Arabidopsis thaliana: one gene and its partners. The protein of the gene in region 1 interacts with the protein of each later gene in a pairwise test. Each region holds a gene or a part of one and is shown in the gene's direction. Other genes may lie near its edges. The genes, in order: RCAR3, HAB2 and HAB1.

Evidence for each region.
Region 2: the proteins of RCAR3 (region 1) and HAB2 interact in binary tests that used the Arabidopsis thaliana proteins (3 or more experiments, as listed by UniProt).
Region 3: the proteins of RCAR3 (region 1) and HAB1 interact in binary tests that used the Arabidopsis thaliana proteins (3 or more experiments, as listed by UniProt).

Annotation. Positions count from the first base shown.
Region 1 is NC_003076.8:21,557,139-21,564,178, forward strand, and holds RCAR3 (regulatory components of ABA receptor 3), read left to right. Parts: upstream 1-3,462; 5' UTR 3,463-3,887; coding exon 3,888-4,025; intron 4,026-4,306; coding exon 4,307-4,522; coding exon of another isoform or gene 4,523-4,602; coding exon 4,603-4,815; 3' UTR 4,816-5,571; downstream 5,572-7,040. Other genes in the region: AT5G53150 (DnaJ heat shock amino-terminal domain protein), read left to right, coding at 1-64; FTSH11 (FTSH protease 11), read right to left, coding at 5,885-6,034, 6,144-6,197, 6,293-6,382, 6,583-6,864, 6,954-7,040. UniProt on the Arabidopsis thaliana protein: Receptor for abscisic acid (ABA) required for ABA-mediated responses such as stomatal closure and germination inhibition.
Region 2 is NC_003070.9:6,031,398-6,038,437, forward strand, and holds HAB2 (homology to ABI2), read left to right. Parts: upstream 1-2,872; 5' UTR 2,873-3,519; coding exon 3,520-4,263; intron 4,264-4,461; coding exon 4,462-4,812; intron 4,813-4,907; coding exon 4,908-5,013; intron 5,014-5,207; coding exon 5,208-5,542; 3' UTR 5,543-6,001; downstream 6,002-7,040. Other genes in the region: AT1G17540 (kinase with adenine nucleotide alpha hydrolases-like domain-containing protein), read right to left, coding at 82-265, 356-607, 697-818, 918-1,015, 1,088-1,244; AT1G17545 (Protein phosphatase 2C family protein), read left to right, coding at 1,712-1,727, 1,910-2,112, 2,191-2,511; HLL (Ribosomal protein L14p/L23e family protein), read right to left, coding at 6,238-6,702, 6,808-6,899. UniProt on the Arabidopsis thaliana protein: Key component and repressor of the abscisic acid (ABA) signaling pathway that regulates numerous ABA responses, such as stomatal closure, seed germination and inhibition of vegetative growth.
Region 3 is NC_003070.9:27,386,619-27,393,658, forward strand, and holds HAB1 (HYPERSENSITIVE TO ABA1), read left to right. Parts: upstream 1-3,329; 5' UTR 3,330-3,629; intron 3,630-4,020; 5' UTR 4,021-4,379; coding exon 4,380-5,126; intron 5,127-5,237; coding exon 5,238-5,585; intron 5,586-5,669; coding exon 5,670-5,775; coding exon of another isoform or gene 5,776-5,795; exon of another isoform or gene 5,796-5,898; coding exon 5,899-6,233; 3' UTR 6,234-6,709; downstream 6,710-7,040. Other genes in the region: AT1G72760 (Protein kinase superfamily protein), read right to left, coding at 1-154, 227-316, 399-434, 521-737, 832-1,017, 1,106-1,230, 1,332-1,423, 1,503-1,683. UniProt on the Arabidopsis thaliana protein: Key component and repressor of the abscisic acid (ABA) signaling pathway that regulates numerous ABA responses, such as stomatal closure, seed germination and inhibition of vegetative growth. Confers enhanced sensitivity to drought.

The DNA of each region.
Region 1 (7,040 bases):
GAAAGAGAATGAGGAAAGTGAAGCTGTGAAAGAGAATGAAGAAGTGGGTATGGATCTAGATTAGGGGGGTATGAAGGTAGTAGCAGTCAGTACAGTGTACAATGGAGGAAGAAACATATCGTATCATCTCATTAGGGCACAGGACTAATCAATGTCAGGTCTGATCTTTTGCTTTTTTCTATTTTTTCTTTCTTTTGTTTAAGGTTGACCCAGAAAGTAGCCATATTTTGGCATAAGAAACTATCTATACCGGAAAAATTAACCTGAGTATTTCGAATATTTTTTGGGGGGGTCAATGTACAATCTTTTTTGGTATTTTGGTATTTACTCAATAGACCAGAAAGAATCTTGTAAGAACTCAGTTTGGGATTCGAATATATATATGGTGGTTATGGTTATTTGTTACTTTTTTTATCTTTGAAGCATTCATTTTGAAGTTCATTGTCATGTTTAGTGAATTTGGTGGTTGTGAATTTGTGATTGGCCAAACCGGTCCATTTTGAGACCAGCCCATTTAAGCATGCACCGACTTGGTCCTTGTTTTAGAATTTGTGCCTCATATATGCAACTGATATCTCTCAATCTGGTTAAGTTTGTTTCTTGTCAGCGTCTTCTTATCATTTACTTAGGCATCAAACTTTTGTCGGCATGCCATTGTGTTTGAGTAAGAGGCCAACTTTGATATTTCAAGATAAATTTGTGCCTCCTATATGCAACTGAGATCTCTGTTTCAAAGCTACAACGTTCTCTGTTTTCGTAAAAAGGACTTTAACAGCGAACTTTTAGAAATTGTAGACTAGTAGTGAGAAATTTTTGACTCACATCATCTTTTTCTCATGTATCTGAATAAAGAAGAAGTGTGAGATTTTGATTCATAAGCCATTAATGGTGTTCACGTTTCTATAGCTGAAATGGTCAAAAACAAAAGATAGATGCAACACATGATCCTCACTTGTCTCTTTATTATGAGTTTAATTTTTTTCTTTCTATTCTCATCTCTTCCACACCTTTTGTTTGTAGGTCCACTTCTCTCTCTCTTTTTCTCATCTTCTTTAATATATTTAATTGGATAATACTATTTCTATATATATAATCGTCGTTGTCATACTATTTATACTAATATCGACACATGAAGTGAATCTAAACATTCCCACTTTACAAAGGTGATTGTCCTTTTACATCCAATCAATCGACTTACTATTTATGAGATACTCACTTCTTTGTCCTTAATGTAAGATATTAAGGCTCTTGAGTGATAGAAATCAAACAAGTGTTTTGGTTGTTTTGTTTATGCTAATGAATGAAGTATGGTCTATGTTGATTGAAAGGATAATATCTAAGTATAGATATTTCATGGTGGTAATGTCTAAACTTGAAATGATGGATTTATATAACTTTATATATGCAACCAGCAAGCAAACAAGAGCATATACATAAAGTTATTTATTAGCAGAGAGCTTCCTATTTGCTCAGAGAGTCATCAGTCTTACATGCCAATGATGTCAGGCACTGAGAGTCGGGTTGCAAATGGAAGGCAAACTCAACACCTTCCTTGACCACACTCAAAATCTCCGATATACATTCCTGAGAGCCCACCTGCAAGCTCCAAGCCCAATCTTAAAAAGAAACTATGGGTATCCAATTTTTTTTTTTTGTGTACTTTAATCTTGAGGTAGTAGTATTTTCGAGAATACTTTAGCACGTTACAAAGTTAGCAACGAATTTTCTTTTTCTAGATATGACTTATAAGAGCCAAACCTTTTTATGTTATAGAAATCTTTGTCACTTTGAGATACTTTTATTCAGGATTTAATAAAGAGTGTTGGATAAAGCACGTGGGACCTTTTGCTCTCTCGAGATTGGCTCTTCGAGTCAGGAAAAGTTAAGACTGTGAAGCAAACCCTATATATGATACTGTATACAATATATTTTTTGGATAAAGGATTGTGTAAATTAAATGATCAAACTATATACTTACTATTCTGGCCTTAGTGGTTATAAGATACTAATATTATACTGTAAATGATCAAAACAAGATACTATTGTCAGAATGCGAAAAAATAAAGCGAAGTCCAACTTAATAGTTTACGAACTTTTACTTCATATTATGAGTCGAATGAGAGTGAATACTGGAATTGGTGATGATGCAGAAAACCGGATTAGACGAAACAAAGAGAACATAATACAAATCATTGGTATGGAACTGACAAAACGTACGAAACAATCGATGTTAAATGGTTAGAATAAAATTTGGATGATAACCATAATAACTGCAGTGCATGTATAATCATTAAATTTTAGCTATTTTTAATACTTGGAATAATAGATGTTTACTATTTTTATCATATACCTAAAGAAGTTCTTGTAATTTGTACTTAGTACCTGATTTGTCGTTCTAATCCTAAAAAAAGATTTGGTCCTTTGTAGTTTGCTTCAAAGGCCCCGAATCTGCATTGATCATGGTCTGGCTCGGGGGTGTTAAGCACACTTTTAACTAGTGATTATATGTCTAATTGGGACATCAATATACCTCCATGCACCTAGTAATGTGACCATCCGTATAATATGTGTACTATCTCTTCTTCAGCTAAAGGTTAACGAGCATAATCTGGTTAAGCCCTATGTTTGGTTTGCATTATAACAATCTCTCTGAAATTTTGTAGTATTTTCATCAATTTAAATTAGTATATTTTCGACAATTTGAATTGTTCTTTGAGTCTGATCACAGTCAAGTACACGAACTATATGCTGATCTGATCGAATTCATTCTACTATATACACACACATACACAAACATTTTACAGTACACCACTAATACTATAATCCCAATAACAAGAAAACCTAAAATATAAGTACACATTAACAAAAGAAAACAGTTTGCAAGTTATTAAGTGGTTTTTGGATTTGGTTTATAGTTTTTAGATTTTTGCATTAATTATATATATATATATATATATATATATATATATATATATATATATATATATTTGAAACTAAATATGAAAAAGTTATAGCGTTAAAAAGTGAAAAACCAATGAAACATAGATTTTAGATTTCCTTTAAAAATCTAGATTCCTTATTTTTATAAGGAAAACCATTTCTCCCAATCTTAATTGGCTATAAAGTAGATTTTTGGAAAAAACTTAAGCCATAAACAATTTCAAAAAATCTATAACCATTTCAAAATCTTTAATCCTTTTTTTTTTTTGTCAAAACAAGTCTTTTATCCAAATGAAAAAGCACCCAAGAAAAAAAAAAAAAAAACTATCCAATAATTGAGTCAGCTCTCATAGGCTTAAACAATACTTTAAGGATCAACATTAAATAATTACCACACTTGAGGGGTAAAACTAAAAACGGTAAATAAAACACAGAAAAACGACAACGAGGGGCAAAATCGAAAATAAAGAGAAAATAGTGGGATAATAGAAGAAAGCATCCAATGAGAGTAGTGAAATCAGAGAAAGACCTTTACTCCTTTAGTCCAATACCATCCAATCAATCTTTTTCTTTTTTTTTATAAAAATCTCTCACTGAGTCTTTTTATTTAAATATTATAAAAAGGAGAGAGAAAAAAAGTTTGTTGGAGGATTCGTCTCTCTCTCTCTCTCTTTCTCTTTCTCTCATCTTCTTCTTATCTCCCTCCAAAGACGGCGACTGTATAATCTATCATTTCTTCACAGTAACGCTTTCATCGGAAGATCTCGCCGGAAAAAAACTTCTCTCTGAGATCAGATCTCTTACGATTCTCAGCTCAATCTTATCTTTTCCTTTGTTGTGCTGCTTTTCACTCTCTTCTGCGCGACGAATTTGGCCTTGTTTTTTGTTTGTTTGTCGTATCCGACGCGGAGGTATTGAGAAACCGTGGCTTAAGACGGAGGAAGAAGATGGAAGCTAACGGGATTGAGAACTTGACGAATCCGAATCAGGAAAGAGAGTTTATAAGGAGACATCATAAGCATGAGCTTGTGGATAATCAGTGTAGCTCTACGCTTGTTAAACATATCAACGCTCCTGTTCATATTGTAAGCTTCTCCCTTCTTCTTCTTCCTTCATGCGCTCTGATTTTCTCTGTTTAAGTTAATCGGTTCTTCTTATTGTTGATTCAATCCAGAATTTGAAATCTCTCTCTATTTTCATCGATTGTTGATCTTACTGATGAAGAATCGATTGGTTTCTAATTATTGAAAGCTTACATAGCATTTGTGTAATCCCAATCTGAGTTTGTTTGATCTGGTTTTGCTTTATTGGAAAAAAAAGCTCCCAAAAACGCTTATGGATTAGTTTGAATCTCTCTGGTGAATAGGTGTGGTCACTTGTGAGAAGATTTGATCAGCCACAGAAGTATAAGCCGTTTATCAGTAGATGTGTGGTGAAAGGAAACATGGAGATTGGTACAGTAAGAGAAGTTGATGTGAAATCTGGACTACCAGCAACTAGAAGCACTGAGAGATTGGAGTTACTTGATGACAATGAGCATATTCTCAGTATCAGAATCGTTGGTGGTGATCATAGACTTAAGGTAATCAATGAATCAAAAGGTTCGTTTTCTGTTTACAGTGAATCAAAGACTTATATGTTCTATATTGTTTTTGGATTTAGAACTATTCTTCAATCATCTCTCTTCACCCCGAGACTATAGAAGGAAGAATAGGAACACTTGTGATTGAGTCATTTGTGGTTGATGTACCAGAAGGAAACACAAAGGATGAGACTTGTTACTTTGTTGAAGCTTTAATCAAATGCAATCTTAAATCTTTAGCTGATATCTCTGAACGTCTTGCGGTTCAAGACACGACAGAATCGAGAGTCTAAAGATCAAAGGAGTAAGAAACTATTGAATCAGAGAGATTTTGGTTGCCATGGATGAAGCTCTCAAAGGGAAAAAGAGAGAGTGGGTGAGTTTCTTTGAGGATGGACAAGGCAAAAAAAGTATCATCATTTATCCAGTTACATAATAAGTTTCTCATTTGCTATTTTTGGGGTCATTTCACTTTCAAACCCTCTTTTTAATTTCATGTGTCTAATTTAATGAATGTGTTTTTGGTTTCTTCTCTATAGAACCAAAATATGATTTTGGAGTTTAGCTTTAGCAACTTGCAGGAATCTTTTTACAATTTGCAGAGAAGACATGTTAAAAGTGTGTGTGATCATGGGGTTCCACTCTCTTCTTCCTTTTTTAACACTTTTAGTTGCACCCATAAAGGCCACACACCGTCTTTCTTATATTTATTTTTTCTACTTTTAAAGATGAACCAATAGGGTTTGTGAGATGTGAAAAATCTCCACAAAGGACCATTAAGGAAAGAGATCTTTGTTGTTGTTTATAGATTTTGTCTTGACTTGTGATTGGGGAAACACACTTTAGCTCCATTAGCTGTAAAAAGTTTTGTATACTATTTTTACAATGCCAAAGTGTTTCTGTTTCTTTTTTCCTAAATTACAGTAGTGGATAAATATTCGAATCGGTCACATTGACAGGTGGTATCATTAGAATTGCTTCTATATGTTTTCTTTCAATTTTGTTCCAAACAATACATGTAATTTCATCAGAGGACCTTGTAAGCTGCAATAAGATTCATTGGCTTTCAAAATCACATCAGAGAATAAAGACAACAATTATTACTTTCTTTTCAATGTTGTTTTACATTTTTCTTCATAGAATTGAACAGAATGTCAAAAAGGGCAAAAGGTTCAAGGTCGAAGCGAAAACTAATGAGCTAATGAAATAAAAACTACAATAATTTTGTAACATGAGATCAATAATTTCATATGTTTTTCTTTTGGTTGTTGTTGTAGAAGCTATGGGAGATTTACTCTGTACAAAGCTTTGAATCTCCCTTTTTCACCCAAAGAAGTGTGTTTATGGTAATGAATGATGTGATTAGGCCAATACCAAGTCTCCTTCTTCTTGTTGTTGCTCTTCAAATTTCTCGCCTTCCTGCTTTGGAAGGAGAATACGCTTTATGTCCTCTGCGGTTAGCGTTTCATACTCTAGAAGTGCGTTTGCTAACGTGTGTAGCTGCTTCTCATGCTGGGGAAACACACACACACACACACACACACACACACACAAAATCGAAGTGAGATTAAACAATTTTGATCCAGTAAAAAATGCGACTATCTGTAAACTTGGCACAAACCCGTTTCAAGAGAGATTTCACTCTCTCATATGCTTCTCTAAGAAGCTTCACAACCTATACATGTATCAACACCACCAGATGAATGATTAGATTTAGGACCAATGGGATTTGAATGAGGGAACTAAAAAAAGTGAATAGAGAGTCTCTACCTCGGCATCAATGCGTGATTGCATATCAGAGCTTGGTCTTTCTTTTATATGAACTGGTCCTATTGCCTCACTCATCCCACAACTCGATACCTTCCATTAAAAAGAAAAGCATTACTACAACTACAACAAGAGGTAAGATCCATCTTCTCGCATTAACTTGTAAGTTCACCTTAAGGATCTCAGAGACTAAGTCCCTCAAACCTCATTCCAGAAAACTAAAAGAACCAAAGGCTAACTCTTTTGATAAACCAGAAAAAAAGAAGCAATTAAGCACATGTACATGAGGTTACCATGTATTGTGCAAGTTCAGTGGCCTGTGACAGATCGCTACTCGCTCCAGTGGTAATATGGTCCAAGCCAAAGATGAGCTCCTCTGCAACTCTTCCTCCCATACATACATCGAGACGAGCTAATAACTGCCTCTTGCTCACTGATGTTTCATCGTTTGAAGGTAACTGTGTAACCATTCCCAATGCAGATCCACGTGGCATTATAGTCGCTTTGTGGATCGGGTGCGCACCTTTCGTATTTAAAGCGACAATAGCATGACCACTCTCATGGTATGCAGTGAGCTAAAGAGGCAAAGAAGTAAGTGACAGGTCATATCATGTTTGAACTCCACATCCAAACACTTCTATGTTGTTAAGATATTGGAATATACCTTTTTTGAGTCCTCTGATACGAACATTGTCTTCCTCTCTGTGCCCATGACAATTCGGTCCTTTGCGAATTCCAACTGTTCAGAAGA
Region 2 (7,040 bases), on another chromosome or scaffold:
CTACAGATTCGAAAAAAAAATGTCAACGCCAGGCAAATAGGTGGTAAGAATATCGATTTGAAACGTGATGGGAATACTAACCATGGAAGAGTGTGAGCTTCCTCCATATGTGGATCGTCCTAGGATGCTGTAGAAGCTAGCATTTGATTCAGCACTGTGATCGCTGGGAAATTCATTACTAAGCTCTGACATAGAACTCCTATACAAAGATGGCTTGTAATGAGGTGTAGGTGGAGATAATTCTCCGTTCAATGCAGGAGATGACCTGCAAGATTGGCAAACCCAATGACTACTATGAAGCAAAAAAGGCATTCATTCACAAGACAACCGGATAAAATTTGAGTTCATTAATTACCTTCCGGATTCACTGGAAGTGGAACTTGTTGGGCCAGGATCAGACATCATTGAGGGATGTTTTGAAGGATGAGGAGGGTGTTGAGGAGCTTGAGGTGTCTGAGGACCTTGAGGCGTGTGAGGACCTTGAGGTGTCTGAGGCCGACTCGCTGATCTGCTTGTTAAGAGCTTCCCTTTAGACACAATGAAGACAGCACATGTATCTGGTGTTGTTTTAAGCAGAGTCGTTGGCACATCTACGCTCTTAAACTTCCTGATTAAGACCATAAATCACAGAGAGTTATAGGATTTAGCATTCAGATTAAGATTACAGTTTAGGTTATATGAGAGAAAGAAAGAGACTTGAGGAAAGAATTTCGAGCAGAGGCTCCAATGACTATATTTGAAATGGAATTGTTGGTGATGTAGTCAACAATTGCACTCGAGATGTCAATATCGTGAAGAAGAACCTCCGTTGCTATAATCTGAGAGAAAATATATAATTAATGAGGTCGGTGAGAGCTATGTGTATATATATATATATATGTGATTGTTGTAAGGAGAAAGAGAGGTTGATATCTGACCCCTTTCCGAGCACAGAATCCTCTAAAGGGAAGGAAGAACTGATGCGCCTCTTCTTGGTTGTCATGTGGTGCTTCTGTGTTTTCTCCTGCCCCAAATCCTGTTTCAAGAGTTTTCATTAGATTGATGGATTGATAACAATGATGATGATGATGATGATGCCATTACGTACTCAGTTTGGTTTGAACATGGAGAAGGATACAGTTTGGAGAATCGATGATGATATTCTCAACAGCCCATTTCAAAGCGTGTTGGCTGTTCTTATCTTTATCAATGGCTATGGCGGTAACTGCTTTGCTGTCTTTTCCTTTGAGTCTTCTTGCAGCCATTGTTTCTCAGCCCTCGAGATGATTGCTGGAAACTTTTGCTTCTGGAGAAACTAGAAAGACATTGTGGTACGGTCTTTCAATTACCCTCAGAAGGAGGAAATAAGGAGACCGAATGATAATGAAAATGATAACAAGGAATTAAGAAGAGAAGAGGAGAGGAGAGCTGTTTTGTTTGTTGAGAAAATTTAAACTTATAATGGTTTTGGCACTTTGCTAAAATTAGAAGGTTTTTCTTTTCTCCAACAATCTAAACAGTCATAACGAACAGAGAGGCAGACAAAAAGAGGATTTTTTTAATTTTAGTTGACGACTTATCTTTAAAGGATATTCCATATCATATCTTGTAGACAAAAAGAGGATTTTTTATTTTTAGATTTGTGTAATGGCATCTTATATTGATATATATGTAAACTAGATAAATTTGGAATTATAGGCAGTCTTGATCTTTTAGAAGAAAGAAGAAGACCATGAGGAAATCCAAAGGTTGAAATTAGTTTTATAATTGTTTCGACGAACGTGTTAAATATCTTGGGGTAACCTGTTTGGTTTTGAAAGGGCAAAAGGGTTTGAGTTTGAAGGACTTTGTCTTTTGTGTGTGATTCATGTCGCTGATGAGGAGGACCTTTGATATTTCAAAGAAACCATATGGAGTATATAATATATAGCTAATAATGATTTTCGTATAACAAACAGCCGTGTACAAGCGAGTGTGGAATTTAATAATAGTTGTGGACGCTACAATGGAAGTGGAATAGAGGATCATGGGCGAGTTCTTGCTACGTCCATTATCCTGAATGATGATGCGGTTCCCACAACACAAGTCCTTATTACTACAAGTCATCATGATAATGTAGCAAAGAGGAAGGAGGTGGAGTGTCTATGAGCTAGAGTGTATACCTCTTTGGGGCACTGTGTCAATCTGCGGTGAAATGGAGGATGCTGTTAGAGCTTTATCTCATTTTTCAAACTACCTATCAGAATGCTTATGTGTGATCATGAAGGGATAATAAGTCCAACGCTCACATGTCTCACTAGTCACTTCTTCGGAATTTATGATGGCCACAGAAGAAGCAGACCTGTTTCTGGTTCTGTTTCTTCTGATGATAGGATGGTTCTTCAGGCTGTTTCCCCTGAGACCGTCGGATCAACTGCTGTTGTTGCTTTGGTTTGCTCATCACATATCATAGTTTCCAACTGTGGTGGTTCAAGAGTGGTTTTACTCCGCGGCAAAGAATCCATGCCTTTATCAGTTGATCAGAAAGTATAAAAGCTGAGACAGAGCTAATGAAGTTTCTTACCTTAATGTAAACAAGTGGACGCTAGAGCCCATATAAGTGACGCTGACTGGGCCTTAATGTAGGCCCATTTCAAACTTTGGTCTCCGAGAAAAGTCTTTCGTTGTCTATTTTTTAACCACGTTATGATAACACTACATGTGTCATGAGATGCATGAACATATGTCATGAACATACTTTCAATCTTGGATCAAAAAACTAAATTAGAAGAATAAACAGAAGACTTGACCTTTAAGAGGGAAGGACACGCGTCATCTATGTTGCCATTATTGAATAGATTAATAAATTAGTTTTATAATTGATTGGAGCAACGTGTTAATAATGAAGGTCGTTGTCACATAAAGAAACTTGGGATTCCGTGGAGTGCTTATAATTTTTCTAATTTTATTTTTTGGGTAAAAACCTCATTAGATCCAGGAGAACCCATGTTTCGTTTCGTTTTGGAAAGATAAGAGAGATAAAGGTTTCGACTTTTTTAGGTTTTTCTGTGTGTTTTGTGATTCATTTCGCTGATTGATATCAATTCTCTCTGTTTGTTGTCCCTTCTCTTCAATTTCACCTGACTTTTGTTTTTGTTTTGGATAAAGTTTTCACCTTTGTGTCTTCTCTCTGCTCTCTTGTGTGATCTATCTGAAAAAGGCTGATTTTTTTTTTGTGGGTTTCTAAATTAGGGTTTGTGTGAGTTTATTGTCTTTCTGATTCGATGAAGATCAAGAGTTATAGAGGATCGTTAGAGTGATCAAAATCCCACGAATTCACAAAGGATCCGTCTTCATAGATCCGTCAGATCTGTTCAGCGGAGGTACATACTTCTTCGTCATTCACTGCTTTCTGGATTAGTTGGTGAGAATAAACGGCTGGTGGGTCTCGGTGGGAAGCTGAATTGGATGTAGAGTTCATCAGACTATAGCTTAGAGAAGAAAATGAAGTTTTTTGAATCGTTTTGCTCCAGTTGAGGTTTGGAAGCTGCATACCAGCTCATGGAAGAGATTTCACCTGCAGTTGCACTTACTTTGGGTTTAGCTAATACGATGTGTGACTCTGGAATCTCATCTACTTTCGATATCTCCGAGCTGGAGAATGTTACTGATGCAGCTGACATGTTGTGTAATCAGAAAAGACAAAGATATAGTAATGGAGTGGTGGATTGTATTATGGGAAGTGTTTCAGAAGAGAAGACTTTATCTGAAGTGAGAAGTTTGTCTTCTGATTTTAGTGTAACTGTCCAGGAATCAGAAGAAGATGAGCCATTAGTATCTGATGCGACTATTATTAGCGAAGGTTTAATAGTTGTGGACGCTAGGTCTGAGATAAGTTTGCCAGATACAGTTGAAACTGATAACGGGCGAGTTCTTGCTACGGCCATTATCCTAAACGAGACAACCATAGAACAGGTTCCCACTGCAGAAGTCCTTATTGCGAGTCTGAATCACGATGTGAATATGGAGGTGGCAACTTCTGAGGTAGTCATTAGGTTACCTGAAGAAAATCCTAATGTAGCAAGAGGAAGCAGGAGTGTTTATGAACTAGAGTGTATACCTCTTTGGGGCACGATTTCAATTTGCGGTGGAAGATCTGAAATGGAGGATGCTGTTAGAGCTTTACCTCATTTTCTCAAAATACCCATCAAAATGCTTATGGGGGATCATGAAGGGATGAGTCCAAGTCTCCCATATCTCACTAGTCACTTCTTTGGTGTATATGATGGCCACGGAGGCGCTCAGGTATGCTGTAGTTCGTAAATCCTTATACTGATTTTAGCAGTAGAAAGTTAATTCAACTATGAACCCGGAAGATACATGAGTTTATGTTTTGTTGACGTAGGTTGTATGTATATATGATAAAGGGTTTGCTGGAAACGGGATTCTTTGCAGGTTGTTATGTAATATATGACGGCTTTGGTGGAAATCGGATTCTTGCAGGTTGCTGACTATTGCCATGATAGAATCCACTCTGCTTTGGCTGAAGAAATCGAACGGATTAAAGAGGAATTGTGTAGGAGGAACACTGGCGAGGGTAGGCAGGTCCAGTGGGAGAAAGTCTTTGTAGATTGTTACCTAAAAGTCGATGATGAGGTTAAAGGGAAAATCAACAGACCTGTTGTTGGTTCTTCTGATAGGATGGTTCTTGAAGCTGTTTCCCCTGAAACCGTTGGATCGACTGCTGTGGTTGCTTTGGTTTGTTCATCGCATATAATAGTCTCAAACTGTGGTGACTCAAGAGCAGTTTTACTCCGAGGCAAAGACTCCATGCCTTTATCAGTTGATCACAAAGTAAAAAATCTTCTCTTTCCCTCTAAAATAATTTAACACAATCTGAGAAAGTTTCTTATTTCTAATTCATGAAATTTCTTACCCTTTCTCTGCAGCCAGATAGAGAGGATGAGTATGCACGAATAGAGAAAGCTGGAGGAAAAGTTATACAATGGCAAGGCGCTCGTGTTTCTGGCGTTCTTGCCATGTCCAGGTCCATCGGTAGGTCAAACTTGCACTTATGTCTTCCATCTTGCCTAGTGACAGAAATATGAAGAGAGTTTTATAGGTCAAAATTATCGATAAATTAAACATTCAGTAACCTTATTTAGAGATGAGGATCATTACTACCTGTTACAGTCTCTGCAAAATCATGAGATCTCCTGAAAGTGGGTTTCAATCTGCATCGTTTTCAGGTGATCAATATCTGGAGCCATTTGTAATACCAGATCCCGAAGTGACGTTTATGCCACGAGCTAGAGAAGACGAGTGTCTAATATTGGCCAGTGATGGACTTTGGGACGTAATGAGTAACCAAGAAGCTTGCGATTTTGCGAGGAGGCGGATCTTGGCTTGGCACAAGAAGAATGGAGCATTGCCTTTAGCTGAGAGAGGTGTAGGAGAAGACCAAGCGTGTCAAGCTGCGGCTGAATATCTCTCCAAACTCGCTATTCAAATGGGAAGCAAAGACAATATCTCAATCATAGTGATCGACTTGAAAGCTCAAAGAAAGTTCAAGACCAGATCTTGAAACAGTGTATGCTCGAGCTCTTACACTATTATAATTTTATTATTTCTTATTTATTGAAAAAATTTCCACAAGTTTACATAAAAATAAGAAGTGAAATGTTGGGGGGAAGAAGAATTAAGACCTTGATGCATAGCTGAAGTCCATTCCTTTTTCTCATGGACTTGAATGTGTATGTTTGTTATGTATAAGAAGAATAGAGAAGAAATGTTTTTACTTTGGAGTCTTGTAGGTGGATATGTTGTTGTAATATTGGAGATGTGGCTTAAGGAATTGTAACTGAAATTTATGTCACATTCACCTTAATACTTTTCTGTAATCTATTATATATAAATACTTGTTGTGAAAGAGTTATTATTGTCTTTTCTATTGTTATTGTTATACAACAGGTAATATTGATTCCAAAGTGTTTAATGAGGGATGCTGTATCAAACATGAAAACTAAGTGAAGGGTTTGGAGAAGGATGGTTGTTTAAAGCTATTTCCCCTGCTTTTTTTACTAAGAGAGTAGAGTTTAACAATTAAAAGAAACCTAAATAAGAGATCATAATTGGTACGTTAAGGTTTCATAATTCATTAGAATTAACAAAAATAATGAGTTGGATAGTTGAAGAATCAACAGAAACCCAAGTGATGAATGGATCAAAGAGAGTCACATAAAGGAGATCATAACTGATGTTTTAGTGTGGTGTATTGTCTCAAACAATGTGCTGAGCCAAAGAAAGGATCTTGAGCTGTTTCCTGAGGCGCATCTCGTGCGGGACAGGACCAAACACTCGGGTACCAGTCGGTTGGTTGTACTCCATTTTCCTCTTGGAACCATGTGAATTATTCTGCCCTTTCTTTTCCTTAATGCCAACAACTACAATGGCATTGTCATCAAACTTGACTTGGCTTCCATCAGCACGTCCTTTAGGCATCGCAGCACGCACAACCACACCGTACACGACCATCCCTTTCTTCACTTTACCTTTTGGGATAGCGTCTTTCTTTACTTTTTTTTGAACAATTGGGTTAGCTTCTTTCACTGAACCAACAATGATATCGCCAAGTCTTGCTCCTTTCTTACCTCTCAGGGATTGAATGCACATCACCTCTTTAGCACACGAGTTATCCACGCATTTGAGAATCGTCCCCATTTGAATGAATGTCCTATGTTGTTGCTGTGAATTGGAAATCATCAGGACACACAATTCACAGGTTATACCCCACGAATGCATATGAAGAAAGTTTCATCAAGGACGTATATTTGCGAAAAGAGGCTTGACCTGAGAGAGGATGCTTCCATTCATCATTCCATTGGAGGAGGAATTCATCAAACCAGAGAAAGCATTGCAAAGACCTCCAAGCAATGAACGTCCTACTCATATTGTCGATGAATCATATAACGACATCACCAACAATTAGTGACATTCACAACAAGAACAAAAAAGTTTTAATCTTGAGTCTGCATTTCATGAACCAAAGCAAAGTCCATGACATATCACAAACCCAAAAACTC
Region 3 (7,040 bases), on another chromosome or scaffold:
TCTCAAGTAATCTTCTCTTTTGGCTCTCCATTTTCGCTATGCGCTTTGCTATTTCAGCTGCTTGGAATGCAGCAGACTGCGTTTTCTGCGTTTCCCTATCAGACAATGCTCTAGGCAGCTCTATTTTTTCATCTGACCATGGGGTTTCTTGGGACTACATAATGTAATATCTAATGATTATTATTCACAACAATTGTCATCAACATGGAAGATAACAGTATCTTACGTTTTCTTTTTGGTTTGTAGTGTCTTTGTCCTTGTTAAACTGCTTCAATTCCAGTCTCAGTCTCCTCACCTCTGCTTCAAGATTTTGATTCTGTCAAAAAGGATAGACCATATCAAATCATGTTGACATTCTGCAAATCCAGGACCAAATTTATGTTCCTGAAAAGCTTTACCTGTTGTTCCACGTAATTTCCGACAAGTGGACTTTCCTGTGCATCAGTATGAAAACCAAGAAGGAAATGTCAGAACACTGAGAAACTGAACATTTATAAGAAAGTGACGATATACTACTAACCGTGGAAGTTGAAGAGATCGAGCTTCCGATGGTAGTGGAACTATCAGAGACGGTGTAAGAACTCACAGTTGATACCATATCACAACTTCCATTGTCAGTCTCTGACTGAGAGATTTCACTCATAGATTGCGGTGTTGAGATGCGAGGTGAATTAGGTTGGAAAAAATTTGAATTTGGTTTGTTGGTTTGTGTAGATACAGGTGATGATATTGATGCGCTGTAAAAAATGTAAACAAAATGAAAAGGCATACTTCACTAAATCCTGTTGAAAAGAAAACCATGGCCAATGGTTAGAAGAGAGTTGAGATTACCTGTCAGAGTCAATGGAGTTTGTTGAGTTGTACAACAAAGAAGAGAGATTTTGTTGTCTGGAAAGTTTATGACGGTGACTCGCGGATCTGCTTTTTAAAAGCTTACCTTTGGTCACAACAAAGACGGCACAAGTCTCTGGAGTCGTCTTAAGCAGAGTGGTTGGTACATCTGGACTCTGAAACTTTCTGATCACAAAGAAAAATTGAATGTTAGCATTTTGTATAACCAAAGTTGAGATGATACCAAGCATGAAACAGAGAAGAGGAGAGAGACTTAAGGAAGGAATTGCGTGCAGATGCGCCAACAACAAGATTTGCAATGTAATAATTGTTGGTGATGTAGTTGACAATAGCATTGGAGATGTCAATATCATGAAGAATAACCTCTTTTGCTATGATCTGAAAAGTGTGTATATACAAGAATGTCATGATCATATTTGATGCATTATAAGTGTGAAATGTTGTTGCAAGGAGATTGGAAATGATCGATTAATACTAACTCCTTTTCGAGCGCAGAATCCTCTGAAAGGAAGAAAGAATTCATGTGCCTCGTCCGGATTGTCCTGATGAAAATGTCCTCCTGTGTCTCCTACTGCAAAACATACTCCTAATTAGGGTGGCTCTTTGACGTTTTGGTTTCAATGATGAAGAGAAGAGCGAGAGATGCTTACGTTGAACGTGGATAAGGACACATTGTGGAGCATCAGCAACAATATTTTCAACGGCCCATTTCAAGGCGTGTTGGCTGTTCTTGTCCTTATCAATGGCGATCGCCGTGATACTGCCATAGTCCTCCGAGGTCCTTCTAACTCTTCTTGCAGACATGTTAGAATCTTGCTTCCCAAGAAACATGAATAACCTGCTTCACAAGGAAACTATAATACTCATAAATGATCTCATGTCTTCTTTGTCACAAAACACCCACAACCAAGATCGATTGTGTTGTTTTTCTTTTGTCTGGCTTTGCAACCTCAGAGAAGAAACAATGAACAATGAAAAGAAACAGAAAATTGTATTGTGAGATGATGAAGCTTTTAGTGGTTTTACAATTTTTCTAATTTTGGAGGGTTTATTTCTCAAACAACTCAACAGTCTTGTGAAACAAACAAACAAGAATGGAAATTTCCACAAGTCTCAACTTATCTTTAATTAGAGAGTGATTTTTGGGAAGTTGCTGGTGAGATCTAGTTTGTACTATAATGTACGCGTTTCGATTAAAATAAAATTCGATTATACATTATCAAAATATTAAATCGATTATTTTATCTTAATCAGTAAAACAAAGTTTTTAGATAAAAATATTAGTAAAACTAGTCAAACATATGGTTTAGTCTTTTAGGTTTATATAGACTAGAGGTTGAACCAAAAAAGAGAGTAAAATAGACTAGAGAATAGAATGTTATGTTTAAACATGATCACACATCTCAATTTACACACATTTACTTAATTTGAGTTTCGATAATAATGCAACAGCAATATATGTATCTACGAATTTGAAATTTATGAGTACAAAATCTAGAGGTGTAACAAAATATTTATTATTTTCGTCCCTGATCAATCAGAGTAGCCACGTGGGCGGGTGGTAGAAATCGAAATTATTGCGATTATTGACTTGGAAAAAAACAAACACACGTTGCATTTTTTGATTTACGTATCCAAAAAGAACAAAGAAAAAAAGGTAAACGACCAAATAATATAATTTTCTGGGGCTGTCGTCTTCCATCTTTATTTCTTCTTGGCGATATCACCATATCTTATACGTCTCTCGAAAGATTATTACTCTTAAGACGATTCCATTAAACACTGATTGTGAGAACTTGTACTTTAACGTTATCGAAAAGTATACATAAATATTTTTATTTTTTTAGGCTGATTCATTCTTACTGATAACAATAATTTTGTGTTATTCTTTCTTACCTAGAGAGTTCTATAGACAAGTTCGTAACTATAAAACCAATCTTTATTTCTTACTCATAGCTTTCAAAACTAAAACTTGATCAGTTTAAATAAAATATATGGGAAATTTTTGCTGAACCAATATATTACGTGTCAAGATTTCATTGATCCTATTAATACAATTTATTCATTTTACAGTTATATCAAATACAAATTACAACTAAGATACTCACTTATCTACACGTCAGATTGTACAACTAAGATACTCACTTATCTATATCTAATTTTCGTGGTTAATATTACATGTCAAAATTTTATGGAAATAATTAGTGTTTTTCTACTTTATATAAATTTTTATGATATATTTTTTTTTTAAAAAAAGGAAAGAGAAAGAAATCAATTTCCATTTGTAAACATATTTTTGGTTCTGAAAATAAATAAATGGGAAAAAAAGGAATTAAATAACATCTGTTGTTGTTAGCTGATCGACAGGTGTTGCCTGAAGCGACCTTAAAAAAAGAAAAAGGACAAAAAGTTGAAGAAAAAAAGAGGACAAAGTTCACAAAATGATACAAAGACTAATACGTGTCCTTTTATTAATCCTCTTTTGTAATAAATACTCTTTTTTCCTATAAATTATATTACAAAACCAAAGAAAAAAAGGAATAAAAAAAAACAGAGAGAAAAAGCAAACCACACAATATTCTCTTCTCTCTCTCTTTGTTTCGCTGATAGAGAGAGCCTCTCTCTAAGCAATTTAGCTCGAGCGAGAAATAATCCTGAGGGAAGAAAATAAAAAGAAGAAGAAGAAGAAGAACATCTTTACTTTTGTTCTCTCTCTCTCTTCTGTTCGATTTTAATTTTTTTGCAGATGCGAATATCTTCTAAAGATTCATCAACTGGTTAGTTCTTTCTCTCTTCTTTTTTCTTTCCTGATTTTTTTATGTTGTTTTTCTGTGTAGTTAGCTTTTCAATCGGAAGATTTTTGCTATTATGTGTCGAATCTCTCTTGTTGTTTTGAGCTTTGTGTTTAGTTTTGCTTAAGAACAAAGTTTAAATTCATCTTTCTATTTCTGGGTAAAGCTAAAGCTTCTTTTTTAATTTAGATCCAAGGAAACCCATGTTCTACTATATGATTATGGACGTTAATGGTTCGAATTTTTTAGGGCTTTCTTGTGATTGATTTCGCTGATTTTCCCTCCTTTTTCTGGTTTTTGTGTGAATTTTCTTTGACATGACCGTTTGGATAATGATTCGTGAGTTTTTGATTAGTGCTTTGTGATCTCTCAATAGGGTTGAAATCAAGATAAGGATTTGAGAAAAGATCGACGAAGTTGTTGCGATTTTGGGATCAAGAGAGTGATATAATCGAGTGAGGAGAATTCGTCGTATAGATTCGTCAGATCTGGTTATCTCCGGTACTTAATTCTCCTTGATTCGTCGTTTTAACTATGCTAAGTTAGTGTATGAATAAAGCGGCATTTGGGTCGCTGACAAAAACTTATTTGGAGCAAGGATTCTTCAACATCATGAAACCATTGCTTAGAGTATTCGAAGAAGAAGATGAAAACAATTGATTTCTCCTAAGTCCATCTTTGAAATTTAAAGCTTTGTTGTGGTGTGGTGTGGAAATCTCTGATTTTGGAGAGCTCATGGAGGAGATGACTCCCGCAGTTGCAATGACTCTTAGCTTAGCAGCCAACACCATGTGTGAATCATCACCTGTCGAGATCACTCAGCTAAAGAACGTTACTGATGCAGCTGACTTGTTATCTGATTCTGAAAATCAAAGCTTTTGCAACGGAGGGACTGAATGCACTATGGAAGATGTTTCTGAACTGGAAGAGGTAGGTGAACAGGATTTGTTGAAAACTTTATCCGATACGAGAAGCGGGTCTTCCAATGTTTTTGATGAAGACGATGTATTGTCTGTTGTGGAGGATAATAGTGCTGTCATAAGTGAGGGCTTGTTAGTTGTTGATGCAGGCTCTGAATTAAGCTTGTCTAATACAGCTATGGAAATAGATAACGGGCGAGTTCTTGCAACCGCGATTATCGTAGGCGAATCAAGCATTGAGCAGGTTCCCACCGCGGAAGTTCTTATCGCGGGTGTAAATCAGGATACCAATACTTCGGAGGTTGTCATTAGATTGCCAGATGAAAATAGTAATCATCTGGTGAAAGGGAGAAGTGTTTATGAACTAGATTGTATACCGCTTTGGGGCACGGTTTCCATTCAAGGGAATAGATCTGAGATGGAGGATGCTTTTGCCGTGTCACCTCATTTTCTGAAACTACCCATCAAAATGCTTATGGGGGACCATGAGGGTATGAGTCCAAGCCTCACACACCTCACCGGTCATTTTTTCGGTGTTTATGATGGTCATGGAGGCCATAAGGTATGCTATATTCACATTTTATGTAAGTTGTTTTAGCAATGTAGATTGTTATACACCTCTTTGAGATGTTCTGGTTAAATTCATAGATTTTAAATCTACAATGGCTTGTAGGTTGCTGACTATTGCCGAGATAGACTCCATTTTGCTTTGGCTGAAGAAATAGAACGTATAAAAGACGAATTATGCAAGAGGAATACAGGAGAGGGTAGGCAGGTGCAGTGGGATAAAGTCTTCACGAGTTGTTTTCTAACTGTCGATGGTGAGATTGAAGGAAAAATTGGTAGAGCCGTTGTTGGTTCTTCTGATAAGGTTCTTGAGGCTGTTGCGTCTGAGACCGTAGGATCAACTGCTGTTGTTGCCTTGGTTTGCTCATCACATATAGTAGTTTCTAACTGCGGTGATTCGAGGGCGGTTTTATTCCGTGGCAAAGAAGCCATGCCCTTGTCAGTTGATCACAAAGTAAAATGAACTTCCTTTTCTTTCCCCAATCTAACTTACAAAGTTGATAAAAGTGTTTTCTTACCTCCTTCCATTTTTCTGCAGCCAGATAGAGAGGATGAATATGCAAGAATAGAAAATGCTGGAGGCAAAGTTATACAATGGCAAGGCGCACGTGTTTTTGGTGTTCTCGCCATGTCTAGGTCCATCGGTAAGCATTGCTTCTTTTGATGACCAGTAATGCACATCACACAAACGTGGCTTGATAATGTAATTACTCCCCTACATGAAACATTAGATCCTCCGGTTTCTTTCCTCCTCTGGAACTATGCAGGTGACAGATATCTGAAGCCATATGTGATCCCAGAACCGGAAGTGACATTCATGCCTCGGTCAAGAGAAGACGAGTGTCTCATACTAGCCAGTGACGGTCTTTGGGATGTAATGAACAACCAAGAAGTCTGCGAAATAGCAAGGAGACGGATATTGATGTGGCACAAGAAGAACGGTGCACCGCCTCTAGCAGAGAGAGGCAAAGGAATAGATCCAGCTTGCCAAGCCGCAGCTGACTACCTCTCAATGCTTGCTCTACAAAAAGGAAGTAAAGACAACATCTCCATCATTGTGATTGACTTGAAAGCTCAAAGAAAGTTCAAGACCAGAACCTGAAGCTTAATTACAAGCAGTACGCTTACTTACTTTTTTTTTTACTGGGGGTAAGTTTCGAGTTTTCGTATAATTTAGATCGTTAAGGATCTAATTTCGACAGGTTTTTACATGTTAATTACTCAATATTGTTAGAAGGGAGAAAAAATAAAGAAAAAAAATGGAAATGCGGGTTGGGGAGGAGAAGTAAAGACTAAAGACTGAAGATTAAGAAGATGATGCATAGCTAATTATAAGTACATTCCTTTTTTTCTCATGGTACTTGAATTCGTATGTATAAGAAGAAATAGGCAGAGAAATGCTTTTTTTTTTTGGGGTATTGAAATAGTTGAATATGTTGTAATAGTTTGAGAGATGTGGCAAATGAAATTGTAATTGAAACTATGTCACATTAACCTTCTTGCATTTGTCTTTTCATGTTGTGTTCTTCGCTGTTCTATAACTTAACGGTGAGATGAGAGTTTATTGGGGGTTTAACCACAGGTCGATTTTTATTTTGATGTTAAGTATTGATAAAGCAATACACTTAGCAAAAGGTGGACGTGCCGGAGTGGTTATCGGGCATGACTAGAAATCATGTGGGCTTTGCCCGCGCAGGTTCGAATCCTGCCGTTCACGTTTTTCATTTTTTTTTCTGTTATCATCACATTTTCCATAACTTACCTTAATCATCTAACATTTTAGAGTCTTTACGAAATGTTAATATTTCTTTTCTTAAATTGAGTAGAAATAGAAATCAACCTCATACCTACAAATGTGGAAGTGACGTGTGAAACCGTAAGTGTATTTAAATCAAACTTAGAAAGCTGT